7 linked regions of the Macaca mulatta genome follow. The protein of the gene in region 1 binds, or shares a complex with, the protein of each later gene. Links are inferred from orthologs where the notes say so. Each region holds a gene or a part of one and is shown in the gene's direction. Other genes may lie near its edges.

The links.
Region 2: the proteins of MED1 (region 1) and PPARA are in contact, whole or in part, in a crystal structure (PDB 9IWM), measured with the Homo sapiens proteins. The link is inferred for Macaca mulatta from reciprocal best matches to the Homo sapiens genes MED1 and PPARA. Residues at the interface, in NP_004765.2 of Homo sapiens: Asn638, Thr639, Asn641, His642, Pro643, Met644, Leu645, Met646, Leu648, Leu649, Lys650; in NP_001001928.1 of Homo sapiens: Val284, Thr285, Thr288, Glu289, Lys292, Phe297, Leu302, Asn303, Gln305, Val306, Thr307, Leu309, Lys310, Pro458, Leu459, Glu462, Ile463.
Region 3: MED1 (region 1) and MED23 share a complex: the UniProt entries of both Homo sapiens proteins name them as parts of the mediator complex. The link is inferred for Macaca mulatta from reciprocal best matches to the Homo sapiens genes MED1 and MED23.
Region 4: MED1 (region 1) and CCNC share a complex: the UniProt entries of both Homo sapiens proteins name them as parts of the mediator complex. The link is inferred for Macaca mulatta from reciprocal best matches to the Homo sapiens genes MED1 and CCNC.
Region 5: MED1 (region 1) and MED31 share a complex: the UniProt entries of both Homo sapiens proteins name them as parts of the mediator complex. The link is inferred for Macaca mulatta from reciprocal best matches to the Homo sapiens genes MED1 and MED31.
Region 6: MED1 (region 1) and MED13L share a complex: the UniProt entries of both Homo sapiens proteins name them as parts of the mediator complex. The link is inferred for Macaca mulatta from reciprocal best matches to the Homo sapiens genes MED1 and MED13L.
Region 7: the proteins of MED1 (region 1) and MED24 are in contact, whole or in part, in a cryo-EM structure (PDB 8T9D), measured with the Homo sapiens proteins. The link is inferred for Macaca mulatta from reciprocal best matches to the Homo sapiens genes MED1 and MED24. Residues at the interface, in NP_004765.2 of Homo sapiens: Phe375, Asn377, Gly436, Leu437, Gln439, Glu441, Ser453, Asn459, Asp460, Ser461, Leu462, Val463, Cys464, Tyr480, Lys481, Gly482, Asp485; in NP_055630.2 of Homo sapiens: Lys7, Ile10, Trp14, Lys15, Arg17, Leu47, Ala50, Met51, Ile52, Gly53, Pro54.

The regions. Positions count from the first base shown.
Region 1 is NC_133421.1:63,743,277-63,746,614, reverse strand, and holds part of MED1 (mediator of RNA polymerase II transcription subunit 1), read left to right. Parts: coding exon 1-2,802; 3' UTR 2,803-3,338. UniProt on the Homo sapiens protein: Component of the Mediator complex, a coactivator involved in the regulated transcription of nearly all RNA polymerase II-dependent genes.
Region 2 is NC_133415.1:5,248,574-5,252,889, reverse strand, and holds part of PPARA (peroxisome proliferator-activated receptor alpha), read left to right. Parts: intron 1-3,443; coding exon 3,444-3,891; intron 3,892-4,316. UniProt on the Homo sapiens protein: Ligand-activated transcription factor. Key regulator of lipid metabolism. Activated by the endogenous ligand 1-palmitoyl-2-oleoyl-sn-glycerol-3-phosphocholine (16:0/18:1-GPC). Activated by oleylethanolamide, a naturally occurring lipid that regulates satiety.
Region 3 is NC_133409.1:36,639,497-36,643,812, reverse strand, and holds part of MED23 (mediator of RNA polymerase II transcription subunit 23), read left to right. Parts: intron 1-983; coding exon 984-1,229; intron 1,230-2,148; coding exon 2,149-2,291; intron 2,292-3,270; coding exon 3,271-3,445; intron 3,446-4,103; coding exon 4,104-4,267; intron 4,268-4,316. UniProt on the Homo sapiens protein: Required for transcriptional activation subsequent to the assembly of the pre-initiation complex. Component of the Mediator complex, a coactivator involved in the regulated transcription of nearly all RNA polymerase II-dependent genes.
Region 4 is NC_133409.1:86,300,310-86,304,625, forward strand, and holds part of CCNC (cyclin-C), read left to right. Parts: intron 1-3,304; coding exon 3,305-3,411; intron 3,412-4,316. UniProt on the Homo sapiens protein: Component of the Mediator complex, a coactivator involved in regulated gene transcription of nearly all RNA polymerase II-dependent genes.
Region 5 is NC_133421.1:8,125,476-8,129,167, reverse strand, and holds the end of MED31 (mediator of RNA polymerase II transcription subunit 31), read left to right. Parts: exon of another isoform or gene 1-234; intron 235-254; exon of another isoform or gene 255-1,890; coding exon 1,891-2,083; 3' UTR 2,084-2,794; downstream 2,795-3,692. Other genes in the region: TXNDC17 (thioredoxin domain-containing protein 17), read right to left, coding at 3,515-3,583. UniProt on the Homo sapiens protein: Component of the Mediator complex, a coactivator involved in the regulated transcription of nearly all RNA polymerase II-dependent genes.
Region 6 is NC_133416.1:123,231,709-123,236,024, reverse strand, and holds part of MED13L (mediator of RNA polymerase II transcription subunit 13-like), read left to right. Parts: intron 1-600; coding exon 601-1,024; intron 1,025-1,530; coding exon 1,531-1,750; intron 1,751-3,197; coding exon 3,198-3,386; intron 3,387-4,316. UniProt on the Homo sapiens protein: Component of the Mediator complex, a coactivator involved in the regulated transcription of nearly all RNA polymerase II-dependent genes.
Region 7 is NC_133421.1:64,410,189-64,415,278, reverse strand, and holds the start of MED24 (mediator of RNA polymerase II transcription subunit 24), read left to right. Parts: upstream 1-1,915; 5' UTR 1,916-1,963; intron 1,964-2,210; exon of another isoform or gene 2,211-2,403; intron 2,404-2,550; exon of another isoform or gene 2,551-3,301; 5' UTR 3,302-3,360; coding exon 3,361-3,490; intron 3,491-3,578; coding exon 3,579-3,661; intron 3,662-5,090. UniProt on the Homo sapiens protein: Component of the Mediator complex, a coactivator involved in the regulated transcription of nearly all RNA polymerase II-dependent genes.

The DNA.
Region 1 (3,338 bases):
AAAGATAATCCTGCCCAGGATTTCTCAACCCTTTATGGAAGCAGCCCTTTAGAAAGGCAGAACTCCTCTTCCGGCTCACCCCGGATGGAAATATGCTCGGGGAGCAACAAGACCAAGAAAAAGAAGTCATCAAGATTACCACCCGAGAAACCAAAGCACCAGACTGAAGATGACTTTCAGAGGGAGCTATTTTCAATGGATGTTGACTCACAGAACCCTATCTTTGATGTCAACATGACAGCTGACACACTGGATACACCACACATCACTCCAGCTCCAAGCCAGTGTAGCACTCCCCCAACAACTTACCCACAACCAGTACCTCACCCCCAACCCAGTATTCAAAGGATGGTCCGACTATCCAGTTCAGACAGCATTGGCCCAGATGTAACTGACATCCTTTCAGACATTGCAGAAGAAGCTTCTAAACTTCCCAGCACTAGTGATGATTGCCCAGCTATTGGCACCCCTCTTCGAGATTCTTCAAGCTCTGGGCATTCTCAGAGTACCCTCTTTGACTCTGATGTCTTTCAAACTAACAATAATGAAAATCCATACACTGATCCAGCTGATCTTATTGCAGATGCTGCTGGAAGCCCCAGTAGTGACTCTCCTACCAATCATTTTTTTCATGATGGAGTAGATTTCAATCCTGATTTATTGAACAGCCAGAGCCAAAGTGGTTTTGGAGAAGAATATTTTGATGAAAGCAGCCAAAGTGGGGATAATGATGATTTCAAAGGATTTGCATCTCAGGCACTAAATACTTTGGGGGTGCCAATGCTTGGAGGTGATAATGGGGAGACCAAGTTTAAGGCCAATAACCAAGCTGACACAGTTGATTTCAGTATTATATCAGTAGCCGGCAAAGCTTTAGGTCCTGCAGATCTTATGGAGCATCACAGTGGTAGTCAGGGACCTTTAATGACCACTGGGGACTTAGGGAAAGAAAAGACTCAAAAGAGGGTAAAGGAAGGCAATGGCACCAGTAATAGTACTCTCGCGGGGCCAGGATTAGACAGCAAACCAGGGAAACGCAGTCGGACCCCTTCTAATGATGGGAAAAGCAAAGATAAGCCTCCAAAGAGGAAGAAAGCAGACACTGAGGGAAAGTCTCCATCTCATAGTTCTTCTAACCGACCTTTTACCCCACCTACCAGTACAGGTGGATCTAAATCTCCAGGCAGTTCAGGAAGATCTCAGACTCCCCCAGGTGTTGCCACACCACCCATTCCCAAAATCACTATTCAGATTCCTAAGGGAACAGTGATGGTGGGCAAGCCTTCCTCTCACAGTCAGTATACCAGCAGTGGTTCTGTGTCTTCCTCAGGCAGCAAAAGCCACCATAGCCATTCTTCCTCTTCTTCCTCATCTTCTGCTTCCACCTCAGGGAAGATGAAAAGCAGTAAATCAGAAGGCTCATCAAGTTCCAAGTTAAGCAGCAGTATGTATGCTAGCCAGGGGTCTTCTGGATCTAGCCAGTCCAAAAATTCATCCCAGTCTGGGGGGAAGCCAGGCTCCTCTCCCATTACCAAGCATGGACTGAGCAGTGGCTCTAGCAGCACCAAGATGAAACCTCAAGGAAAGCCATCATCACTTATGAATCCTTCTTTAAGTAAACCAAACATATCCCCTTCTCATTCAAGGCCACCTGGAGGCTCTGACAAGCTTGCCTCTCCAATGAAGCCTGTTCCTGGAACTCCTCCATCCTCTAAAGCCAAGTCCCCTATCAGTTCAGGTTCTGGTGGTTCTCATATGTCTGGAACTAGTTCAAGCTCTGGCATGAAGTCATCTTCAGGGTTAGGATCCTCAGGCTCGTTGTCCCAGAAAACTCCCCCATCATCTAATTCTTGTACAGCATCTTCCTCCTCCTTTTCCTCAAGTGGCTCTTCCATGTCATCCTCTCAAAACCAGCATGGGAGTTCCAAAGGAAAATCTCCCAGCAGAAATAAGAAGCCGTCCTTGACAGCTGTCATAGATAAACTGAAGCATGGGGTTGTCACCAGTGGCCCTGGGGGTGAAGACCCACTGGACGGCCAGATGGGGGTGAGCACAAATTCTTCCAGCCATCCTATGTCCTCTAAACATAACATGTCAGGAGGAGAGTTTCAGGGCAAGCGTGAGAAAAGTGATAAAGACAAATCAAAGGTTTCCACCTCTGGGAGTTCAGTGGATTCTTCTAAGAAGACCTCAGAGTCAAAAAATGTGGGGAGCACAGGTGTGGCAAAAATTATCATCAGTAAGCATGATGGAGGCTCCCCCAGCATTAAAGCCAAAGTGACTTTGCAGAAACCTGGGGAAAGTAGTGGAGAAGGGCTTAGGCCTCAGATGGCTTCTTCTAAAAACTATGGCTCTCCACTCATCAGTGGTTCCACTCCAAAGCATGAGCGTGGCTCTCCTAGCCATAGTAAGTCACCAGCATATACCCCCCAGAATCTGGACAGTGAAAGTGAGTCAGGCTCCTCCATAGCAGAGAAATCTTATCAGAATAGTCCCAGCTCAGATGATGGTATCCGACCACTTCCTGAATACAGCACAGAGAAACATAAGAAGCACAAAAAGGAAAAGAAGAAAGTAAAAGACAAAGATAGGGACCGAGACCGGGACAAAGACCGAGACAAGAAAAAATCTCATAGCATCAAGCCAGAGAGTTGGTCCAAATCACCCATCTCTTCAGACCAGTCCTTGTCTATGACAAGTAACACAATCTTATCTGCAGATAGACCCTCAAGGCTCAGCCCAGACTTTATGATTGGGGAGGAAGATGATGATCTTATGGATGTGGCCCTGATTGGGAATTAGGAACCTTATTTCCTAAAAGAAACAGGGCCAGAGAAAAGAAACTATTGATAAGTTTATAGGCAAACCACCATAAGGGGTGAGTCAGACAGGTCTGATTTGGTTAAGAATCCTAAATGGCATGGCTTTGACATCGAGCTGGGTGAATTAGAAAGGCATATCCAGACCCTATTAAAGAAACCACAGTGTTTGATTCTGGTTACCAAGAAGTCTTTGTTCCTGTGCCAGAAAGAAAAAGTTAAAATACTTGCTTAAGAAAGGGAGGGGGGTGGGAGGGGTGTAGGGAGAGGGAAGGGGGGGAAACAGTTTTGTGGGAAATATTCATATATATTTTCTTCTCCCTTTTTCCATTTTTAGGCCATGTTTTAAACTCATTTTAGTGCATGTATATGAAGGGCTGGGCAGAAAATGAAAAAGCAATACATTCCTTGATGCATTTGCATGAAGGTTGTTCAACTTTGGGGTAGTTGTCCATTTGAGTCATGGGCAAATGAAGGACTTTGGTCATTTTGGACACTTAAGTAATGTTTGGTGTCTGT
Region 2 (4,316 bases), on another chromosome or scaffold:
AAAGAAAAACCAAGAGGTCCCACATTTGCGTTTTTGCTCTGGGTCCCGCAAATTATGTAGCCAGGCCTGCATTTGTCCTAGAAGATGCTCTACCAAAAAACAATAAGTAACACTAAGCATTCTGTAATTGAACACCGTAGGAACACCTGCTTATCCTAGCCTCATTCTCATTCTGGAACACTGCACATTTATCATGTTAAAGACTCAGTTGGGGAGACCCAACTTCATTTAACTCAGTGTTTCTTATATTTTTTAAACAACTCATTTTTTAAAAAAAGTATTCAACACCTTTATTTCTGCTGAATGTCCTTTAGACAGATCTAGTGATTTGAATAAAGTGATGGTGGCCTAACAGTCTATTTTCTGGAATTGAGGGAATACTGCTATTGATCCTTTAAAAATATTTACGTAGTCCCTCCTAGAGGCTGGGCGCAGTGGCTCACACATGTAATCCTGGCACTTTGGGAGGCCGAAGCGGACAGATTGCCTGAGCTCAGGAGTTCAAGACCAGCCTGGGTAACACGGTGAAACCCCGTCTCTACTAAAATACAAAAAATTAGCTGGACGTGGTGGTCTGCGCTTATAATCCCAGCTACTTGGGAGGCTGAGGCAGGAGAATCACTTGAACCCAGGAGGCAGAGGCAGAGGATGCAATAAGCCGGGATTGCACCACTGCATTGCAGCCTGGGCGACATGACAGAGCAAGACTCCGTCTCAAAAAAAAAAAAAAAAAAAAAAAAAAAAAAAAAAAATTTGGCCCCTCCTAGAAATGTTAATTCCTCAAATCTGAGCTTCAACTTTCTGTGAAGCAGAATTATCTCCAAACTTTAACAAACAATGGTCATCTGAACTGTTTTTAAGGTCTTTAGAGAGAGATCATTTTCAGTCTTTGTTAATCAGACTTCAGATTATTTAGAAACTTGGCTCTGAATATTGTATTCAGAATGTTTTCACTCATTTGTGAGTAATTTTTAAAATATCCCCTTTCCTCAGATGCAGAATCAGGGTTTTTAATCCAGCATTATGTTGCAAGTCCTGGTTCTGTTGAAACATTCCATACAATCTGTGTGATGGTTATCGGCACCTCCACCGGTGCCCTGAAGACAGTTTTGTGCTGTGAGCCCAGAAACAGGAAACACTTCACGCTGTGGATCAGAAGCATTGTCAGTGGTTGTGTTTTGCCCACTGGCAGGGGGCATTCTTTAAATCCCTGGGATGCTTCTGCACTCTGGGCTCCACTGTTCCAGCAGCGATTAGAAATAATGCTTTACGGCCGGACGCGATGGCTCAAGCCTGTTATCCCAGCACTTTGGGAGGCCGAGTCGGGCGGATCACAAGGTCAGGAGATCGAGACCATCCTGGCGAACACGGTGAAACCCCGTCTCTACTAAAAAGTACAAAAAACTAGCCGGGCGAGGTGGCGGGCACCTGTAGTCCCAGCTACTCGGGAGGCTGAGGCAGGAGAATGGCGTAAACCCGGGAGGCGGAGCTTGCAGTGAGCTGAGATCAGGCCACTGCACTCCAGCCTGGGCGACAGAGCGAGACTCCGTCTCAAAAAAAAAAAAAAAGAAAAAAAAAAGAAATAATGCTTTAGGCTGGGCGCAATGGCTCACCCCTGTAATCCCAGCACTTTGGGAGGCTGAGGTGGGCAGATTACCTGAGGTCAGGAGTTCGACACCAGCCTGACCAACATGGTGTAACCCTGTCTCTACTAAAACTACAAAATTAACTGGGCGTGGTGGCGCCTGCCTGTAATCCCAGCTACTCAGGAGGCTGAGGCAGGAGAATCGCTTGAACCCGGGAGGCCGAGGTCACAGTGAGCCGAGATTGTGTCATTGCACTCCAGCCTGGGCAACAAGAGCAAAACTCCATCTCAAAAAAAAAAAGAAAAAGAAAAGAAATAACACCTTAGCCCACTGCATTATTGACCTTGTCTGCATGAGCCACGGACCACATCGTAAACAGATCCCTCAGATGCTGTCACTTTCCTGCTCTGCCCACACGTAAATTTCAGCCAACAGCAGTGTTTGTGCTCGTTCTCCCCGGCCCTCCCACACATGTAATCCCTTCTGAGCATGCTGGCTTCAAATAATATGACCAGCCACCTCTTCCACCACAAGATCTTCAGGAAATGGCAGGCCACTGGGTTTAGATGCAGAGGGCGTGGGACCACACAAGGCACGGCTGTGGGGACGTGGCACTTGCTCCAGAACGTGGAGCACTGAGTGAAGGTTTCAGTCTCCTGCACTGAGAGAAACAAGGGCATTCTGAGGCTTTTCCACTTTATCCCTAAAGAGTTTAACAATGCTTGTTTGCTGATTTCTACATAGATGCCAACTTTATGAGTTGTATGTGTTTACATGCCAGATTGATTCATTGAGCAGCGTTAAATAATGGTGTTCACCTCTAAAGCGCATATACTGGTAAAATTAAGAATTATTGTAATTAAGCCTCTTGCAGTAGTTGTTAAGAGTTCAGAGAATATTTAAGAATATTAAAGGTGCTTTGCTAATATCCTTGTTAGTTTTGTGGACAAAATCAGTACTTCAGTTTCTTGTTTCTTTTTTTTTTTTGAGATGGAGTCTTGCTCTGTCACCCAGACTGGAGTGCAGTGGCACGATCTCGGCTCACTGCAACCTCCGCCTCCCGGGTTCAAACGATTCTCCTGCCTCAGCCTCCCAAGTTACTGGGGTTACAGGCACACACCATGCCTGGCTAATTTTGTTTTGTTTTGTTTTTGAGACGGAGTCTTGCTCTGTCACCCAGGCTGGAGTGCAGTGGCGCCATCTCGGCTCACTGCAAGCTCCGCCTCCTGGATTCATGCCATTCTCCTGCCTCAGCCTCCCAAGTAGCTGGAACTACAGGCACCCGCCACCACACTCGGCTAATTTTTTGTATTTTTAGTAGAGACGGGGTTTCATCATGTTAGGCAGGATGTTCTCCATCTCCTGACCTCGTGATCCGCCCGCCTTGGCCTCCCAAAGTGCTGGGATTATAGGCGTGAGCCACCGCGCCCGGCCACATTTTTCTGTGTTTTTAGTAGAGACGGGGTTTCACCATGTTGGCCAGGCTGGTCTCAAACTCTTGACCTCAGGTAATCCACCCACCTCAGCCTCCCAAAGTGCTGGGATTACAGGCATGAGCCACCATGCCCAGCCCAGTACTTCAGTTTCTTAGCAATGAAATCCACCCAATGTCAGGCGATGATGATTATTATTTTACTGATTTATACTGTTCGTTCTCTATTAATGTCTTATTTTCCCCAGCCGATTTTGAAGTTGAGTGAGGACTGTGTTCTGCGGGTTTCTTGAGTCCTCTGAGGCACCGAACTTGGTGATGTGGACGCAGGAGCTGCTCGTTAGGAGCTGCTCGTTAGTGAACTGATGGCTGGGAGCGTGGCGCATCCCACATCACCTGACTTACCTTGGTGTCCTCCTTTGTAGCCTTTTGTCATACACGATATGGAGACACTGTGTATGGCTGAGAAGACACTGGTGGCCAAGCTGGTGGCCAATGGCATCCAGAACAAGGAGGCGGAGGTCCGCATCTTTCACTGCTGCCAGTGCACATCGGTGGAGACCGTCACGGAGCTCACGGAATTCGCCAAGGCCATCCCAGGCTTCGCAAACTTGGACCTGAACGATCAAGTGACACTGCTAAAATACGGAGTTTACGAGGCCATATTTGCCATGCTGTCTTCGGTGATGAACAAAGACGGGATGCTGGTAGCATATGGAAATGGGTTTATAACTCGTGAATTCCTAAAAAGCCTAAGGAAACCGTTTTGTGATATCATGGAACCCAAGTTTGATTTTGCCATGAAGTTCAATGCACTGGAACTGGATGACAGCGATATCTCCCTTTTCGTGGCTGCTATCATTTGCTGTGGAGGTGAGTGGTTGATTTAATCTGCTGGTATCATGTCACTGACAGGCTCCTGTCTTGAAAATTTTGACAACGGGAAATGCAGTACCAGCTTGAGCTGTCCCAGTGGAGGGGACACTCCCAGGGTGGGAAGACATCTGACCTCCAGTCATTGCTGAGTAGAATTCAGTGGGAATTATATCAATATTGTATCATATTATAGTATATATTGTTATTATCTATAAAGACATATTTAATAATATGTAAATGTATGACACTTTAATTATAATATTAGCCAGGTGTGGTGGTGCACACCTTTAGTCCCAGCTACTCAGTAGACTGAGGCCAAAAGATGCCTTGAGTCCAGGAGTTCAAGGTTGCAATGAGTTATGAATGCATCACTGCATTCTAGCCTGGGCAACAGAACAAGACCCTATGTCTTTAAAAAAAAC
Region 3 (4,316 bases), on another chromosome or scaffold:
TTGTTGCTTGATACTTATTTTTCTTGTTTAATTAATAGCGAATTGTAGACTAATATTGGTCTCGGTGTTTGTGTGAAATTTGAAAATCTCCCCATACCCACTATAGGTAAGGGCAAATACTTGAGGTACATGTCATAGCAAGAGAATCTGACCAGCACCTATATCAGGAAACAGCTACAAGATTAGTCTTGCTTTTATGTATAGATTTTTACAAAAAATTTTTCAAGGCTGATCTTCAGTTGAATATGTTATAAAGTTATTAATATAATGAAAGCATATCAAGTTTCATAAATGTAAAAATGTTTCAGAATTTCTCAAGTGCTTGGAACTTGAGCATGAGCTGACTGAGATATTCATCTGTGGGCTGCCAGGAATGATTGAGCTGATCTGGCTGGCATGCCCCTTAATATCTCTTCCAAAGTTGTGATGACTCAAAGAAGATACCATTCTTAGATAGTATTGTATTGTATTGTAGTCAAGGGTGCTAGGAATAGCCTAACTTCCCACCTAGAACTTCTGAAAAAGACTGTCACATCTCTTCATAGGATATGGCAGGGGAGTCAGACTTGATATTTCATTTGGTTTTCATTTTATGAGATACCCCTTAACCACCTTTTCAAAGTGATATCTGTAATGAAGACATTGTTGTGTTTATACAGACAGATAATAAGTAGAAACCTGGTTCACAGACTTGTGAGTTATTTCTTCGGTCTCTGAAACTTAGCCTAATATGGTGGCTGTATATGTAGTGCATACTTAACAGATACCCATTAATTGTTTATTTAAAATTATTTTTCTTCTGAAACACTACCTCAACTTCTATGTGTATTCCCACTATACGTTTCACACAGAAACTCGAATACGTATAGGAACAAAGATAGCATTAATAAATAATTGCATAAAATTGAACTTTTAAAAAAATACAAATTAACATTATGGAAGTAATTTTCGTTTTTTCTTTTTAATGGAACATGAATTTTTAGGTTCCTGCAGCAGAGTCTGAGAAATAAAAGTTTACAGATGAATGACTATAAGATTGCTCTATTGTGTAATGCATACTCTACAAATTCAGAATGTTTTACATTACCCATGGGAGCTCTGGTAGAAACTATTTATGGAAATGGAATTATGAGGATACCTCTCCCTGGAACAAACTGTATGGCTTCAGGATCTATTACCCCCTTACCCATGAACCTCCTGGATTCACTGACAGTTCATGCCAAAATGAGGTATGTTCTTTTTATTAATTTGATTCCATGTCAGGGAATTGATACGAGTATAGTATAAACCTTTATTTCATGGTTTTATGTGTGTAATTTTTCATAGTCAGGTACATTTAGGGAAAAAAATAGCTTTATTTTATTACAAAAGTAAATATTTTTTATTATAGGAATTCTAGGATAAACAAACCCAAAGAAAGTAATTGTCATAATCTCTCCATGAGAGATAAGCATTATAAAAATTTTTTGCACTTTTTTTTTTTTCGTTTTTTGTAGATAGTAAGAAGGAGGACTAGTGTAGCTAGAGCTTCCAACGTTTTTGAGAAGGGCTAGAAATCCAGATTTTTTATTACTAGTCTTTCAGCCTTTAAGTATTGGCTCAAATTTAAAACAACCACCGTATAGGCCTAAGAGAATTTGTCTGTGGGCCTCCAAGTGGAGCATCAGTTCTGGTAGAGCTATGCTCTTTTTCAAGTGGTAACCATTGTGATAGAATTACACATGTGCTTCACTTGCATGTATAACAGATTTGAGCAAAGCCTCATTAGAACCTAACATTTGGGTCTTAGCTATGATGTGTTAAAGTAAATCTGTGACAGAAGTTATTTAATTTCCCAAATGTATTTTGATGCATCATTGGAGTAACCAAAATCTCTCAAGCTTGCTCTTATAAGTTGAACCCAAAGTTTGTTTTCCCATGAGCAGGGGGATCCGTGTGCATATTGAAAGCACCATGGAAATCGGAATGAGTCTCAGGTTGTGCAGTGCATCCTTACCAAGTGTCCTGCACAATTTAGACACATTAAATGAATCAACTTCATTTGAATCATTTAAGTTCAAATTATACTAAGTTACTTCTAAGTAGAGTAGCGCCTATGTTTATGTCAAAAATATGGATTTTTATTTTCTTCCCTTTTTTTCTCCTCAGCCTTATTCACAGCATTGCAACCAGGGTGATAAAACTTGCTCATGCAAAGTCCAGTGTGGCCTTGGCTCCAGCCCTAGTGGAAACTTACAGTCGTTTATTGGTCTATATGGAAATAGAGTCTTTGGGCATCAAAGGATTTATCAGTAAGACAGGACTTTCTGGTGTTTATAACTATTAATCCATTCATTAACTCTAAAGGTACTTTTCTAGTTCCGGGGACACAGCAGAGAACAAGTCACCACCATGATGGAGCTTATGGAGGGGGACGTTAAATAAATGAAATATATAATATGTCAGGTGATACATGTTATAGAGAAAAATAAAGCAAAAAGGAATAGGAAGTTTGAGGGTGGGAGGGGGGGTTTGTTGCATTTTTAGGTAAAGTGGTAAGAAAAGGTTAATGTGCTAGGTGCCTGGGATGTGGTGAGCAGGATAGACATGGTCCCTGTCCTCATGCAAATGGATTCTGCCTGAGGCAGTAATGCTGTCCTCCAGTGCATACAAAAGGCTGACTGGCAGTAAAGAAGGAATTCTCTTAGATTGCAGAAAATACATTATAATGTCTGTTATTTATTATGTAGTTCTAAAATAATAGATACTTTCTAATATAGAAGTGTTTTTCTGATTCATCATAATTCCAGCTTTTCATGAATACAGCATAGTTTTAATTTTAACCATAGTAAGTCTTCCTAGATAACTGATTGTTGAATAAAACTTTCTCGGGGGTAGGAGGAAACAAGGGCAGGTGTAAAAATACAGTTTTTTGTATTAAAAAGTGAACCTCATACTTCAAAAGGTATGGAACATTAACTGTCTAAAAATAAAAGATACCAGAATTGAGAAGATTAATGCTTTTTCGTATCTTGTCTCATTTTGTTTTTCCAGATAAACATGATTATCACTTGCCAAGTCCCAGGAAAAAATAATTGATATTATAGTTAGGATCTGAATTTTTCCTTACTGTTAAAGTAGAAAATAAGAAAATGTGGAGAATATATATGTGTGTGCGTGTGTATTTTCGCAATCAAATCTTTATTTGATTCACTCAATGTGACTTTCTTCAACTATCTTTTAATGCATAGCCTTTACTAATTGGTACCTTAAATTGTCTTTTTCCTCCAGGTCAGCTTTTGCCAACTGTTTTCAAATCACATGCATGGGGGATCTTACATACACTCCTTGAGATGTTTAGCTACCGGATGCATCATATTCAGCCTCATTACCGAGTTCAGCTCCTGAGTCATCTTCATACTTTGGCTGCAGTTGCACAAACAAACCAGAACCAGCTCCATCTTTGGTGAGCTCATTGAAGGCCATCTTTCCTTAAGATTTACTAGAAACTTTCTTGGAGATGAGGTTCTTAATCCTTTGCCTTATAGGTTTTTTTTTTTTTTTTTTAATTCATCTGTCATAAAACTTCTCTGCTTCTAAAGTATTTTGTTTCCATTATAGGAGCAGAGTCCAGCTTTTTAAATAGAAACTGATTAAGATAGTTGAGTTCTTGCTTCAGGATCTTTGGACTGAGAATTAGTACTTTCAGGGTATTTATTATTATGTTGTAACTTAGCCCTTTAGAATGCTGTTTTTAAGTATACTTCAGATTATGGTTAAAGTATCATGTCACATTGATTTTGCTTTAAATTAAAATATATTTTAGATAGAAAAATATAATTTTTGAAATGCAGTATCTCCAGGTGAAATTTTTTAGTCCTATAGGCGACAAGTCATCTTTTTCAAATGTGTAAAAATGTCAAGATTTTCACTATAAAATTGGACACATTAGGTTTTTTAAACAAATTAAGCAACATTTATTCTCACACACAAGTGTTTTTTTAATTAAAGAAGGGATAGTCATATAGATTGCATGTTTTTCCAGTGTAATTAACCTTAGAATTAGATTTAATTCTATAATTCTGAAATTTTTTTACATTTCTTTTTTTTCTCCCACTTTTCAGTGTCGAGAGCACTGCTCTCAGGCTTATAACAGCATTAGGTAGCTCAGAGGTACAACCGCAGTTTACACGCTTCCTTAGTGATCCCAAAACAGTGCTCTCAGCAGAATCTGAAGAACTGAACCGAGCCTTGATATTGACCTTGGCTAGAGCAACTCATGTTACAGGTACGGTGACTATGTGACTACAAACAAACAAAAACAGATGAATTAAAGT
Region 4 (4,316 bases), on another chromosome or scaffold:
CTAATATATTAAAAGGAAAAAAATTATAAAAGATCATTCTTAGAGTAAACAAAAACAGTAGACGAAACTACTGCTAGTTAAATCAGGGGAGAAAGGAATGATACAAAAATACAAAATTAGGAATGAGAAAAGTAAACCCAAGGGTACTTTTGGGTTATCTCCAGGGTTTTAAATTTGAAAGCCAAAGCAAGTTAAGAGTATTACCCAAGAACTATGCCTTATTTCATGGGTAAATACATCTTTCAAGAGAATCTCCTTTTGAAATTGTTCCATTTCATACAGAAAGAAGAAAAGCTTTCCTTTACAAAGCCATGATAACACTTACAGAAAAATCTAGTAAAGGGAACACTAAAAACAGTCTCACTTTTGAATACTGATGCAAACATTGTAAATGAATTATTACCAAATACAGTCTAACATTACATTGAAAGTATAAAACGTGACAGTGGATTTTATTATAGAAATATAGTCAATGAAGCAGTAAAGGTATTAAAAAACTAATGCAATTCAACATTTATCCTTGACTAAAGCTCTTACTAAAACAGAAACAGGATGCTTCCTTAACATGAAAAACATATCAAAGCATCAGCAGTGGTAAAACATTGGGATAATTAGGGTGCCTATTTAAGATTTTACCAGTATACTAGTGAATACAATTGATACAAAGGAGATATAGAAAGAATGACAAAACAATGACAAAATTATCAATACGTGGAAATAAAATTAATGAGAAAACTCAGTTAATTGAGAAGTTATTAGAAATAATAAAGGTTTAATAAGGTGACCAGTTATAAAATACAAAAATAAAAGCTTTTTAAAAATGGATAGAGAAGTATAATTTACATTAGCAACAGAAAATATAAAATACAGAGGGAAAAATATAAAGAAATATACAGAACCTGTAGGAAGAAAACTTTAAAAGTCCATAGTGGCACATACAGATTTTAATAAAGTTTGAATTCTTGGTAAGATGTCATTTCTCCCTATATTGATCTTTAAATGTAATGCAATCACAAAATTTGAATGGATATTCTTTTTTAGGACTTGACATAATGCTTCTTAAGTTTGGGTCTTAGAATAATAATTGTGATAAAATGTCAGAAATTTTCAGGAGAATAGTAGCAAGGAAGTATTTTTCATACCAGATATTCATTACTTAATTTTCTGTGTTTTAAAATAGCACAGCATATGAACAAGAAAAAAAATAGGAAATTATAAAGAAGATCCAAGTATAGTGATAGAATTATAAATCAGAAGATAACTTAGCGCATTTGGATAAGCATTTGACAAAATATTTAGCTGGATCCCAACTTTATACTTTGTACCAAAATAAATTCCAGATGGATCATAAATTGAAGGAAAAAAGCCCTTAAGGGTATTAGAAAATATGGGTGAATTGTTTATCATTTTGAATCAGGAAAGACCTTGCTATGCCTGACAAACATGAAAGTAAAAGATAGATTTAAGTAAGTGATTCAGATTTCTGTATTACAAATAATTAAATACTGAGAGATATTTAAACTTGGGAGAAATTTTGCACTTATTTGTCAAACAAGTGATTTATTATTCATACTGTACAAATTTTAGATGAGAAGAATCTCTTAATCATTAAAAAAATCGGTAATACCATTAGAAAAATGGTCATATTAGAATTAACATTGTACAAAAGAAGAACTGTATATGACCAATAAAGACATAGAAAGATGTTTAACCTCAAAAGTAAACTACAGGGAAAAGAAACAGTGACGTACTACTTTGCCTTTAAGTTGCAAAATATTTAAAAGTGGCAGTAACCCATAGGATTAATTTTTTTTTTTTTTTTTTTTTTTTTGAGACAGAGTCTCTGTCCACCAGGCTGGAGTGCAGTGGTATGATCTCAACTCACTGTAGCTTCCACCTCCCGGGTTCAAGCAATTCTCCTGTCTCAGCCTCCCAAGTAGCTGGGACTACAGGCACACGCCACCACGTCCAGCTAATTTTTGTAATGTTAGTAGAGACAGAGTTTCACCATATCGGTCAGGCTGGTCTCAAACTCCTGACCTCAGGTGATCGGCCCACCTCGGCCTCCCAGAGTGCTGGAATCCCAGAGTGCTGGAATTATGAGCCACCATGCCCGGCCAGGATTAAATATTGTACAATTCACTCATGAACTGTTAATACAAATGGAAATTGGTATAATGTTTTTGGAGGGTAAACTGACAATGTGTATCAATAAATTACCAGCAACACTAATCCTACTTCTGGGAAGTTATTTCAAATATATTATTAATCAAATATGCAAGGAGAATTACAAAGATATTCATTAAGAAGCATATCATTCAGGAAATAGTAGCAAGGCAGTATTTTTTTATACCAGCTATTAATTACTTAATTTTCTGTGTTTTAAAATAGCACAGCATATGAACAAGAAAAAATAGGAAATTATAAAGAAGATCCAAGTATAATGATAGAATTATAAATCAGGAAATACCTCAGCGCATTTGGATAAGCATTTGACAAAATTTTAGCTGGATCCCTACTTTGTACCAAAATAAATTCCAGATGGATCATAAATTGAAGGAAAAAAGCCCTTAAGGGTATTAGAAAATATGGGTGAAAAATGATAACCTATATTTGCATCAGTAGAGATTGGCTAAATAATGATCCATCCATAAAGCTGTATGAAAGACTGCTGAACAACAAGTTAATTGACATAAGACTTGGAATACATATTGAATGACAAACACAGCTTCAAGATCGTTTTTTCTTTGAGTCATGTCAATTTCATATCTCTGGTTAAAAATAGCACACTTGACTAGGCAAGAGGAGGAGGCTATCAGTGTAACACATTCTGAGGCAGTTTTTAATATAATTAGATTTGTGAAGTAAGGAAATTAAATGCCATAGTTACCCATGAACAGCTGAAAAACTATATACTTCCTCAAATCTAAGCGACCATCAATTGGTGCCAAATAATTCCACCGTTATCTTATATCACTAAGAAAGAATAAACATGCTGCCAATTATAACACGAAGGCATCACAGATTGTAAGACATATCTTGATATCAGAGTCAGAATCAGTGAAATACAAGCTGGTAACAGACTAAGGAGGAAGAAGGAAAAGATTAGAGCAGAATTTTTTTCAGGACATATTTACATTTATTAGTGAGATAATTATTAGTCACATTTCAAGAAATGTGAGAAATAATTGTCTTTAAGGTTATGTTTTGCTCTTTGTACTTCTCAGAATATGAACAATGTGTTCAATCTTAGAGTGTTTTCCCTGACCTTGCTTGTTGATTTTCTGTAACATGTCTTTTCTAGTTTGCAATGGATTTTGGATAAACAAGATCTGTTGAAGGAGCGCCAAAAGGATTTAAAGTTTCTCTCAGAGGAAGAATATTGGAAGTTACAAATATTTTTTACAAATGGTAAACTTTTTAAAAAGTTGTTTGAGATTGTATAGTTGGTTACCTCTGAATTAAAATGTTTTTGTGTGGTAATTTGTAAACTGTTTTAGTGCATACCTAACATTTTTATTTATACAGGTGTTCTTTTTACAACGTATTCATTTCTGTTTCTTTTTAGTGATCCAAATAAAGTTTTTTGTGTGAATTTTACATATTACAGGCACTTAAGACAATTTAGAAGTGTTACCTAATCTCCCTAAGGCTTTGTAATAATTATTAGACCCAGTTCACGGTTGGCTAAAGCAAAGTACTTTGAGGATAAATGATTCTTTGGATTGGCATCCTGTAGTGGTCATGTCTCTTAGAACTTTGAAGGGAAGAAGATTAGGGATATATCTTTACTCTGACATGTAGTAGGTTTGTCACATAATTTTTTTAACTTTCAGTTCACTATTTTGTAAACTTATCTCTCTGGTTTTTTTTTTTTTTTTTTTTTGAGGATTCATTATGAATTTTTTTTTTTTTTTTGGTGAGCCGTATAAAGCTAAGTGTGGTAATCTTAGCACTTTGGGAGGCAGAGGTGGGTGGATCACTTGAGGCCAGGAGTTAGATGAGCCTGGCCAACATGGTGAAATCCCCTCTCTACTAAAAATACAAAAATTAGCTGGACGTGGTACACAAGAATCACTTGAACCTGGGAGGTGGAGATTGTAGTGAGCCCAGATCGCACTACTGCATTCCAGCCTGGGCGACAGAATGAGACTCTGTCTCAAAACAACAAAAAAGTGGTAGTATTAACAAGTTTCATAGGTGTCTAATATTTTCTTTTTATATTTATTTTAAAGCTAATATGAAAAGCATTTAAAATATTTAGAAGATAGAGGGGAAATACTTATTCAACTTCCTTAATGGATGGATAATTTTTT
Region 5 (3,692 bases), about 56 Mb from region 1:
TCCTGCTGGGGTGCTGTATGTAGTATGGGCTTTAGTCCAGGCCTGTTGTCCTGCTGGGGTGCTGTATGTAGTATGGGCTTTAGTCCAGGCCTGTTGTCCTGCTGGGGTGCTGTATGTAGTATGGGCTTTAGTCCAGGCCTGTTGTCCTGCTGGGGTGCTGTATGTAGTATGGGCTTTAGTCCAGGCCTGTTGTCCTGCTGGGGTGCTGTATGTAGTATGGGCTTTAGTCCAGGCCTGTTGTCCTGCTGGGGTGCTGTATGTAGTATGGGCTTTAGTCCAGGCCTGTTGTCCTGCTGGGGTGCTGTATGTAGTACAGGATCCAATCTAGGCTGTTGTCCTGCTGGGGTGCTGTATGTAGTATGGGCTTTAGTCTAGGCCTGTTGTCCTGCTGGGGTGCTGTATGTAGTATGGGCTTTAGTCTAGGCCTGTTGTCCTGCTGGGGTGCTGTATGTAGTACAGGATCCAGTCTAGGCCTGTATGTTGCATTTTGCTGTCACATCTTAGTCTCCTTTCATCTCAGTGGTCTTTTCTTTTCCATGACTGTGACAGAAATGATTTTGTATCCTTCATGTATCTGCAGTCACATGAAGTCTATTTGTCCCACTACTGGTGACATTAATTTTGATAACTTGGTTGAGGGTGGTACCTTCTAGGTTTCTCCATATTAAGTTACTATTTTTCCTTATGTATTTAATAAGTATCTTATGGGGAAATCCTTTGAGACTATGTAAATATCATATTACATGCCCATTTTAGCATCTTTTGAAGATATTTGTTTGAAACATTTTTTACTGTGGTGATTTTCGAATTCTGTCATTCTGCATTTATTAGTTTGGAATTCGATTGTAAGGCAGTACATTCCCTTGTTTTCTATTTATTATTTTATTAAAGAAATTTACATCCATTTAGTATTTTATCCTGTGAATTAGAATTATGTATTTTCTTGCTCTGAGTATTCTAGATTTGGCCATTGGGAGTCCCTTCAAGTTGGTTCCTGAATACTTTTGATCGTCCCAATAATTTTTAGCACTTTTTCTTCTGGCACTACGTAATGTTCCAGGCTCATCTTGTACTTTCCCTCTCTTATCCCTGAATCACCCTTTTCTCCAAGGAAACCTGCTCCTTGGATACCACAATCTGGACATTGTGTGTTCATTAGTACCACAGTGTCATTGCTTCTAGGCCCTCTCAGTACACAAAGCTCAAGAACTCTATGTTTGTATGTGTATCCATGCACACATGTATACATCTGTTTATCCTGTCTACCTATATTAAAAGCCCTAAGTACATACTAATGTTTTCAATACCAGCTCAGTAACACAGGATTCATTCTAGCCTTTTTCCTTTCCTTGTCGAAATTTGGCTGTCCTTATCCACAGTATATTTACTTGTCCAATCCTAGAGTATATCTAATTTCAGAGTTGGTATATCCCTGTGGACAAGAAGAGTATAATGTATGTGCATAGTTCTCTTTCAAACCAACTCACTTTTAAATGAAAGTTGTCTTTTTATCACTATTGATGGAAAAACAAAGAACTATCAATTAAACACAGAATTAGTAAAATATGTTCATGTTCTTCACGTTGGAAACCACTAGAAGGGAATAGCATGGTTTGTCCCTACATTTTCACTCTGCTTACCAGTTACTGTGTTGTGTGGTCCTGAGCAAGTTTAAATTTAATCTTTCTGAACTTAAACCTTCTCACTTTCGAAAATATTGCTGAACACTGACCTTTGATGACCAATCAGGGAAAACACCCTATGCTGCCAGTGTGTACTAAGTTAAAGAAATGGTAGGCTACAAGATCATTTTTAAGAGAATAACTTAATTAGACCTTGGCATTATTTACTTAAATTATGTTGTTCATTTACTTATAAACTTAAACCCAGGTACCCTCAGTGTTTACACATGTTAGAGCTGCTCCAATACGAACACTTCCGAAAGGAGCTGGTGAATGCTCAGTGTGCGAAATTCATTGATGAACAGCAGATTCTACATTGGCAGCACTATTCCCGGAAGCGGATGCGCCTTCAGCAAGCCTTGGCAGAGCAGCAACAGCAAAATAACACATCGGGAAAATGAAAAACCGGATACAGATGAGGCTCTCAATACATGTATATAATGTATTTCTTTTGTACAGTGAAGACAAAAAATGAAAACTCTTCCTATCTACCTTTATTATGGTAGCCCCTAGAACCTTTAGTGTGCTTTTTAATCCAACTTTTTATTGTTAATAGACTATTTCTTTTAAACCTGAATTGGTCTACTTTGATTTCCCTGTGGATTTGTAAGGTGTTTTCTTTTGTATGCATTTAGCATAATCAGCTGATTAAGAATGGAAAAGTTAGGTGCTTTAGACCAAATGAGGCACTGGGGCATGGGGTAGGGGTGGGCCACCAAGTATACTGAATTCTAAGGCTAGCTCTTCCTGACATATAGTAGCGCAAGGCCATCTCCTGGAACCTTACTGTCTCTCAGATCAACTACTCTACCACTCTTATCTATGTAGTGAGAGTAGCGGAGTCAGTGACCTCTTTAAATCACAGGATAGGAACTGCATAAAGGTTCTCAAATTCTGCAGGACAGGAAATCCCTGTATTACCTGCTTTGCAAGGTGGCTTTAAGAATCACTGTGGCCTCATTTGACCTAGTCATGGCAGGACAACTAGTGGTTAATTACTAATTGGACTCTTGACTTTAGAACAAACATGAGGAGCCTCAAATACTTGTGCTCATTTGGGAAAACTAACATTGATTTGGGAGGTACCACATACCAGGTGCTATGTTAAGTGCTTCCTTGAATTCTCATTTTATTCTCAGAACCTTGTTTACAGAAGAGAAAACTGAGGTTTGGATGGGGCGGGTAACTTGCCTGTGGTTACACAGCTAGTAAGTGGTAGAATCAGTGTGACTGACTCCAGCTTGGAGTTCTTCCCACCACTGGGTTACACAGTCTCTCCAGCCCCTCGCCGCCACCTGCCTAATCCCAAGTAAAGCACGTTGAGAGAAGCCACAAAACGAACTGCCTCTAGTGCTCAGGGTCGGTTTTTTCATGAACAAAACAAAACTGCCTGAATTAAGCAGAGGCTGGATTAGAGGTAATATGCTTCCCTCAGTGGTGAGGTTAGGTTCTACGTTCCAAAATCAAAGAAGGGGTTTCAGGACTATCAGTTGCTTTGCAGATGCAGAGAATTTAAAATAAAAGATCCTGATCTTTTGAAAGATTTGGAAGGTGTGCTCTGCGCCTTTAGGAGTTTTTAGGTATTTCCGTCACCTTCAATGATACATTCCTTTGAGCCTTTACTGCTACTTCTGAAGACTTGTTTATATCTTAAAAATATCCATATATTACAGGCAAACTAAAGGTTCATGGGCATTTTAATAGCACCCTACTGTTTAGACACATGCCAGTTTTTTAACCTCATTTATTGCTAACATGTATTCAAAGCAATATACAGTTTATTGATACTAGAACAAATCAGGAAATCAAGACATGATTGCCATCATAAAATCTTAATCTTCAGAGAACAACATTTCCACCAGGTTGGCCTGAAGACACTCAGATTCTACCAGTTTTTGAGGCTGTAAGAGAAGAACAGTCAAATCTTCACTACTCCTATAAAACGTTATTAGGAGTGGAATAGGTTCTGCCTTGAATGACACTAATCTTTGAACACAGAAATTATGCAAT
Region 6 (4,316 bases), on another chromosome or scaffold:
AAAATAGCAAATCCCTCCCATCCTTTCTTTTATAGATGCAACATTGTATTTCTTTTGCCTCAAGTAATGCTGTATTTGTTAAGGTCCATTTTGGTGTTCTGAGCAGTTTAATGCTAATTTCTATATGTACATATATTTTTTAAAAACTATTCAAAGTTGCCTAATCATGTCTAATTTACTCCACATTTTGAAAACTTAGCAGCATGACTTGGTGTTAGCTGCTTAGTTTTAACCCATATTCTGAAGAGAATCTTAGAAGCTTGTAAACCTAGGAGTATAATGTCCCGTGATGACTGTGGAATATATAGCTTCTCATTTTTCAGGGCAGGCATATGGAATCAGTCTGAAAGGAGACTATCACAAGTGATTGATTTTCTCTTTTCAAACAGGCCTCTTCAGTAGAATTTATAAGTTGCTCCGTGTGCATTTCCATGTTTGCAGAATACATAAGCATGAGTGTGGAGATAGTATTTTGTGTATTGTAATCAGAGTATTGCAGCTTGAAAGCATAATTTTTTTACAAGTGACCATTCTAGATTTCTGGTTTAGTCGACACTGCAGAATATCACTAAAGTCACCTCTTTGCATGTATTCTTTCAGCACCTTATTTAGCCACTCTGCAGCTTGATAGCAGCCTGTTGATACCACCTAAATACCAGACCCCACCAGCAGCGGCACAGGGACAGGCTACGCCTGGGAATGCTGGGCCCTTAGCTCCAAATGGATCAGCAGCTCCCCCAGCTGGCAGTGCATTTAACCCCACCTCGAATAGTAGTACTACAAATCCTGCAGCAAGTAGTTCCGCATCTGGTTCCTCTGTGCCACCGGTCTCATCGTCTGCCTCTGCTCCTGGTATTAGCCAGATAAGCACTACCTCTTCTTCAGGATTCAGTGGTAGTGTTGGAGGGCAGAACCCCAGCACTGGGGGCATTTCTACGGATAGAACTCAAGGGAGCATAGGCTGTGGCGGAGACACTGACCCTGGGCAGAGCTCTTCTCAGCCCTCACAGGATGGACAAGAGAGGTATGTTACTCACTAATTGAGACGAGTGGCCTCAGCTCAGACCCTTTCTCTCTTCTTCCGCACCTTTTCTCCCTTGACCTCATGATTCTCTGAATCCTATGAAGTGCTCTATTTCTCTTCTTCTCAAAAGAAAGGGGTAATGGTCAATCTAAAGCTGCAGTGTTAAAATTTTGAGACTTCTTATAAATTATTATGACTTATAAACCTTATTATTAAACTTACAATCAACTTAATAACAACTTTGTACAACATAACCACAGAAAAGAAAGGGGAGTTTGAAAAAGATATCTCCCATTTTAGAGGAGTACATTGCCATTTTCCATCTGCTTTCAATGCTCTCTGGCTTGGTTTGCCTGTATTTTGGTAAGGTGATACATGTTACTCTTACATTTAATCTGTAAATATTCTTTAGGGAGCCTGTGTGCTCTAGTATTGAGCACTTTTGTTTTTCATACTCATGTAATTTATGTTTATTTTGTGTGTCTCACAAGTGACTCTCTTGCCAGTGTTACAGAAAGGGAGAGAATAGGAATTCCCACGGAGCCTGACTCTGCAGACAGCCATGCCCACCCTCCAGCCGTTGTCATTTACATGGTAGACCCATTCACTTATGCTGCGGAGGAGGACTCCACTTCTGGGAACTTTTGGCTGTTGAGCTTGATGCGCTGCTACACAGAAATGCTGGATAATTTACCTGAGCATATGAGAAGTTCTTTCATTCTCCAGGTTACTGTTTGCAAGTTTATTATTTACTTTTGATGTTGATGTTTTTGTTGTTGTGAAAATAAATACAGGCTTATGGTTTTTCTTAAAAAATAGAAGTACAGGTTAATTATCCTCTAACCAAAATACTAGGGACCAGAGTGTTTTGGATTTCTGATTTTGGAATGTTTGCATATATGTAATGGGAGACCTTGGCAGTGGACCCAAGTCTAAACATAAAATTTGTGTTTTATATACACCTTATACACTTAACCTGAAGGTAATTTTATACAATTTTTTTAATAATTTTGTGCTTTATACAAAGTTTTGATTAAATTTGACTGCAGCACATCACATGAGGTCTGATACGGAATTTTCCACTTGTGGCGTTTTATTGACATTCCAAAAATTGTGAGTTTTGGCGCATTTTGGATTTCAGATTTTTTGATTAGGGATATTCAACCTGTACCCGAAAGTATAAAAGAAAAAATAATCATAATTCTGACTTTTACATTCAACCACCATTACCATTTTGGTGTTTTTCTAGCTTGTTTTTCTATTTTTGTTTACACAGTTGAGATCATACTTTTAATATAACTTAGTTTCTATCTAATGTTATTCATGAATACATTTTCATGTTATTTAAATTCTTACAAGCATTTTTAATGACTGCATATTTTCCATAGCCATTCCTATATCTCCACTTCTTTACTGTTATAAATAAAGCCATAGTACACATTTATGTATAATCTTATTTTTCACATTTCAGGTCATTTTTTAACATGGGTTCTTAGATGTAGATGCGACACATATTGCCAAATTCCATTCCAAAAGAGATTACACTTACTTTCCTTTCATCAGTGAATGAGTATGCTTATTTTCACTGCCCCTTTGACAGCTTTATAGTGTAATGATTTTTTTAAAAATTCTATATAGATGAAAAACAGTGCTTCGGATGTTTGGGTTTCATTTTAATGTCACTTTAACTGAAGCTATCTTGTAAAATTAAAAGATTGAAATTAAAGTTATCAGAGTACATTGCTGATAGTTTTCCATTGTTTTGAAGTCTGTATCCTAAATGATTAGGTAATAATTCCAAAAAATGCCACACACACTGTGTAATTATAAAAAGGAGAAATATAATACAATTTGGGGGCCATGGTAATACCTGTAATAAATTGAGATCTTACCTCTAAAATGGGAACATGGTAGTTTCTAAGTGACAGTATAACTTGACCCATATAATCGTACATCTTTCGAAATTGCTGGTGATAGAGAATTTTATGTCAGTGGAAGGAATTAGGATTTAATTATATTATGTGTGACACTGATATATTTTAGGGCTGAGGTTACCTCTCCCCATTGTGGTAAGGAATTCATGCCGTTTCCTTTTTCAGCTTGCTTGTTAGCGTGTTAGATCTCAGTTTCTAGGTTTTTGGTTTTGTTTTGTTTTTTGTATTTGTGTCTTTAGATTGTGCCTTGCCAGTACATGCTGCAGACAATGAAGGATGAGCAAGTTTTCTACATTCAATACTTGAAGTCCATGGCATTTTCAGTGTACTGCCAGTGCAGGCGACCATTGCCTACACAGATCCACATTAAATCCCTCACGGGATTTGGGCCTGCAGCCAGCATTGAGATGACCCTCAAGAACCCTGAGGTGGGTATTGGCAGGACAGGAACTTAGAAAATTTATACTAAAATGCAAGCTAGGAGAGGTATTTTATCTAACCTAGAGATTGGCTGGTTGCTTAGTTGGCCTTCTACCTTGATATAAGAGTTGCTAGGCTGGATGTGGTGGCTCACGCCTGTAGTCTTAGCACTTTGGGAGGCTGAGGTGGGAGGATTACTTAAGCCTAGGAGTTTGAGACCACCCTGGGCAACATAGCAAGACCCCGTCTCCACAAATTTTTTTAAAAAAAATTAGCCAGGTGTCAGTGATGATGTGTGCCAGTAGTCCTGGCTGTTTGGGAGGCTGAGACGGAAGGATCACTTGAGCCCAGGCGTTTGAGATGGCAGTGAGCTGTGATCACACAACCACTTCCGCCTGGAGAGTAAGACCCTGTCTCAAGCAGGGAATGAAAAAGAGTTGGCAGATTTCTTTAACTCTTAGATTTAAATAGAGGAGATATTTCTCTGAACTTTTAAGAATTTTTGAGAAAAGAGGCAAGCAAATTCTTACTGTTTTTTTAATGTAGGACTTTAGGCAATAATATATGTATCACTTTTAGTTCTTAATGTTTGAATTTTCTAAATTTATTTTCTTTATTTTTCTAAGCTACTCTGTGTCTTAGATCAGAAATCCTTTGCATTTTCTGGCTCTGGTCTGTATCCTGAGACAGCAGTTGTAGTTGTGTTTACTCTGCAGGGGGCCCTCATTTTCTGATGCACATACTTACAGGGAGTTGATTTCTCCTTTCCTTGCCTCAGTGCTTCGGTATGTAAATGAATGCATTTTCGCTCCATCTTTTTAAACCTACTTCCTACAGATATGTGTGGATTTCAAAGGGAATTTTACAGCACCAAAGCTAAACATGTTTTAAACAAAAGTTTTACATTTCCTTTGTTTTTCTAATCACCTTATCTTGAA
Region 7 (5,090 bases), about 670 kb from region 1:
CTATTCCCCAGTGGTGTCCCTTGGGCAGGCACAAAGGGAGCCTAAGGGAGGGGTGTGGATTGAATGTATGGGGAGGAAGAAAAGCCATAGGCAGTACCAACCGCAGAGGGACATGATCTGACCCTCCTTCAGCCACACTCTCCCCTTTGGAACAGAAGTCCTTGACTCCCTGTCTAGACCGTGCTCCAGACACCCAGGGTGCTGTAATTCTCTGCCCAAATGGCCAGTTTTACTTCCAGAGCCTTAAATGGGCTGCTCTTCCAGATTTATCCCCCCAAGGACTGATTTTGCCACTCAAAGGGTGAGCAAAGAATGGTTGTCGAAGGCTGGGCACGGTGGCTCATGCCTATAATCCCAGCACTCTGGAAGGCTGAGGTGGGTGGATCACCTGAGGTCAGGATTTTGAGACCAGCCTGACCAACATGGTGAAACCCCATCTCTACTAAAAATACAAAAATTAGCCTGACGTGGTGGTACACGCCTGTAATTCCAGCTACTTGGGAGGCTGAGGCAGAAGAATCGCTTGAACCTGGGAGGCAGAGGTTGCGGTGAGCTGAGATTGCAGTGAGCTCAAAAAAAAAAAAAAAAAAAAAAGGAAAAAAAAAGAATCGTTTTTGGGGAATACGGATTGAGCTTGAACTTGTGAACTAGGATATTGGGCCCTGGCTAAAGGCCTCCATGTTTATTTATTTATTTTTTTGGTAGAGCTGAGAGTCTCATTATGTTGCCCAGGCTGGATTTGAACTCCTGAGCTCAAGTGATCCTCCTGCCTCAGCCTCTCGAGTAATTTACTCTTATTCCTGGTTGTAAATGTTAGGGATGACCAGTCCATAGTATGGGGAGGGATGAGGGCTATGCATAAGAAGGCTCAGACATTGGAGCCAGAGGTGGGTAACATTTGCTTTTGGCTTTCTCACTAGGGGAAGGAAAGGCTATGGCCAAGGCCCTGGGCATAATAATTGGATATTATTATTTATGGATCTTTGGGATAAGCAAGATTTAAACAACAACAACAACAACAACAAGAAACTTAAGAAAATAGTTTTTAATTTACAGGAAAAAAATGGAAGGTAATAGAGGGTCCCCACATATTCTGCACCCAATTTCTCTTTTAATTAACATCTTAGCATTAGTATGATGCATTTGTAACAACTAATGAACTAATACTGATACATTATTATTAATTAAAGTCCATGCTTTATTTAGATTTCCTTAGTTTTTACCCAGTATTCTTTTTCTCTTCCATGATTGCATTCAGAAAATCACATTACATTTAGTCATCAGGTTTCCTTAGCCCTCTTAGCTGTGACAGTTTCTCAGAATTCCTTTGATTTTGATCACCTTCACCTTAGTTTCTCCTTTACTTTCCCTTGTATCCAAGCTGTTTGGAGGGCTTGGAGATGCTGATAGGACTGTCAGATTCGGGGGTGGTGATATGTGTGCAAGTAAGGCACCTTAGTGTCGCTTTTAGAATATAGGTGTGGAAATGAGAATAGCTCTGGAAGCCCCAGGAGTTTAGGAGAAAAGAAAGAGCCCAGGAAAAGAGAAAGGCCGTATTGCTGAACGCCACACCCTTGCCGCACCTATTAACTAGGGGCTAACGAAAGAAAGGGTGTCGGAATATGATGGAGAAGGCCGGTCGACAGTGACGTCGTGGGCGACGCCGGGTTGTGAGCGACCTTTCGAGCTTCCTCGAGTCCCTGAGTCTCTGTAGTGTCTCAGCTCCTGGATGTCCTCCCTTAAAGGAGAGGAACAATGCGCGCCGACTAGACTAGTCTCTTAGTTTCTTCGCCAGCGCAGACAAATACGGTTTCAGTCCAAAAAACTACCATTCCCAGAAGACAGCGGGACGTTCCTTGCTGCATCTCTATTGGTTTGCGTTTGTTACTCCCAGCCAATAGAAAGTGAACTTCTTGACAAGTGCCAAAATGGCGATGCCTACGACCTAGAAGTGGATTGTGCGGTAGGCTTAAATTTGGGGAGGTGGTGGATGAAAAGGAAATTGGGAGGTATAGTTACAGGGCTGGAGAAGGTGGAGGAAATGAGGGAGCAAATCTGGACTTGGAGTAGTGGTGACCGAAGGACGCATTTAGAGCTAAGGGCGTAATTAGGCAACGAGGACTGGCTTAACTCCTTGATGCCCTCTTTACTCTATTAGTCCCTTTGATATTTATTTATTTGAGAGACAAAGTTTTGTCCTTGTTGCCCAGGCTGGAGTGCAATGGCGCGATCTCGGCCCACCCCATCAACCTCCGCCTCCCGGGTTCAAGCGATTCTCCTGCTTCAGCCTCCCGAGTAGCTGGGATTACAGGCATGCGCCACCAAGCCCGGCTAATTTCGTATTTTTAGTAGAGACGAGGTTTCTCCATGTTGGTCAGACTGATCTCAAACTCCCGACCTCAGGTGATCCGCCCGCCTTGGCCTCCCAAAGTGCTGGGATTACAGGTGCGAGCCACTGCGCTCGGCCTATACTTTCTTCTTAGTGCCCCAGTTTAAGGAAGGGCGGTTCAGGAGGAGAAAGCCTGACAGGATCTTACCTTATCTCTTTAGCTCTTTTTCTTTCAAATTCCGCTGCCTAGCTTAAATCTTACCGCATCTTCTTTTTTTTTGTTTGTTTGTTTTTTGTTTTGAGGCGGAGTCTCGCTCTGCCGCCCAGGCTGGGGTGCAGTGGCCGGATCTCAGCTCACTGCAAGCTCCACCTCCCGGGTTTACGCCATTCTCCTGCCTCAGCCTCCCGAGTAGCTGGGACTACAGGCGCCCGCCACCGCGCCCGGCTAAGTTTTGTATTTTTAGTAGAGACGGGGTTTCACCGTGTTAGTCAGGATGGTCTCGATCTCCTGATCTCGTGATCCGCCCATCTCGGCCTCCCAAAGTGCTGGGATTACAGGCTTGAGCCACCGCGCCCGGCCACCGCATCTTCTTTCTATTTAATTCTGCCTTCCCCGGTTCTCCTTCGAACATCGTGTCCTTTTCTTTTTTTTTTTTTTTTTTTTTTTTTTTTTTGAGACAGAGTCTCGCTCTGTCGCCCAGGCTGGAGTGCTGTGGCCGGATCTCAGCTCACTGCAAGCTCCGCCTCCCGGGTTCCCGCCATTTTCCTGCCTCAGCCTCCCGAGTAGCTGGGACTACAGGCGCCCGCCACCTCGCCCGGCTAGTTTTTTGTATTTTTTAGTAGAGACGGGGTTTCACCGTGTTAGCCAGGATGGTCTCGATCTCCTGACCTCGTGATCCGCCCGTCTCGGCCTCCCAAAGTGCTGGGATTACAGGCTTGAGCCACCACGCCCGGCCGTGTCCTTTTCTTTAGATCCACTTCTTTCACCTCAAAGTTGGCCGTCACAGCTGCCACCTGCTCAGAGTGAAATCATGAAGGTAGTCAACCTGAAGCAAGCCATTTTGCAAGCCTGGAAGGAACGTTGGAGTGACTACCAGTGGGCAATCAACATGAAGAAATTCTTTCCTAAAGGAGCCACCTGGGACATTCTCAACCTGGCAGGTCTCAAGTGAACTGGGAAAGAAAGATGGGAGGGATAAACCCAGAGAAGTTGTAATCACTCAATCGTGTTTTGTTATTCCTCTTGCAGATGCATTACTAGAGCAGGCCATGATTGGACCATCCCCCAATCCTCTCATCTTGTCCTACCTGAAGTATGCCATTAGTTCCCAGGTAAGCTCCCCCAAAACCCCCACCAAGAAGTGAGAGTTTTGGGGATAAAAAACTTGAAGTGCATTTGGACCCCAGTGATTCATGACTGTAATCCCAGCATTGTGGGAGGCTGAAGCAGGCAGATTGCTTGAGCCCAGGAGTTTGAGACCAGCCTGGGTAACATGGCAAAACCCAGTCTCTACCCCAAAATACAAAGAATTAGCCCTTCGTGGTGGTGCCCCTGTAGTCCCAGCTACTTGGAAGGCTGAGGTGGGAGGATCACCTAAGCCCTGGGAGGTCAAGGCTACAGTGAGCCATGATCCTGCCACTGCACTCCAGCCAGAGCAACAGAGTGAGACCCTGTCTCAGGAAACAAACAAAACAAAATTTGGGGTGCAGTTTTACAATTGTCAGCTTACGCTTTCTAGATGAATTTGTTTGAACAGATCATTTCACTGAGTTTCAGTGTTCTCATAAAAATAATAATACTTCATTTGTTGTGATGAATATTATATTCACTTATTCTACTGGGAGTAGTAGCAGGTAGCACAGGCCTGTGGCCCCGCCTACTCAGAAAGCGGAGGTGGGAGGATTGCTTGAGCCCAGAAGTTCGAGGCTACAGTGAGCACTGATTGTGCCACTGCACTCCAGCCTGGGCAACAGAACAAGACTCCATCTCTTAAAAACAACAACCACCAAAAGAGAAATAGGATTACATTCACTTGTTCTATCAACAAATACTCATGAATTTTTTTTTTTTTTTTTTTTTGAGACGGAGTCTTGCTCTGTCGCCCAGGCTGGAGTGTAGTGGCCGGATCTCAGCTCACTGCAAGCTCCGCCTCCCGGGTTCCCGCCATTCTCTTGCCTCAGCCTCCCGGGTAGCTGGGACTACAGGCGCCCGCCACCTCGCCCGGCTAGTTTTTTGTCTTTTTTGGTAGAGACGGGGTTTCACCATGTTAGCCAGGATGGTCTTGATCTCCTGACCTCGTGATCTGCCCATCTCGGCCTCCCAAAGTGCTGGGATTACAGGCTTGAGCCACTGCGCCCGGCCTTTTTTTTTTTTTTTTTTGAGATGGAGTCTCGCTCTGTCACCCGGACTGGAGTGCAGTGGTGCGATCTTGGCTCACTGCAAGCTCCGCCTCCTGGGTTCTCCTGCCTCAGACTCCCGAGTAGCTGGGACTACAGGCGCCTGCCACCACGCCCGGCTGATTTTTTGTATTTTTTTTTTTTTAGTAGAGACAGGGTTTCACCGTGTTAGCCAGGATGGTCTCGATCTCCTGACCTCATGATCTGCCCACCTCAGCCTTCCAAAGTGCTGGGATTACAGGTGTGAGCTACCGCGCCCGGCCTCATGAATGCTTTTATGTGCCAGACAGTGCTAGCCCCTGGGGACATAGCTGTGAATAAGATCTGATGCCAGTACACAGAGAATTTAGTGGGTAATATAGAC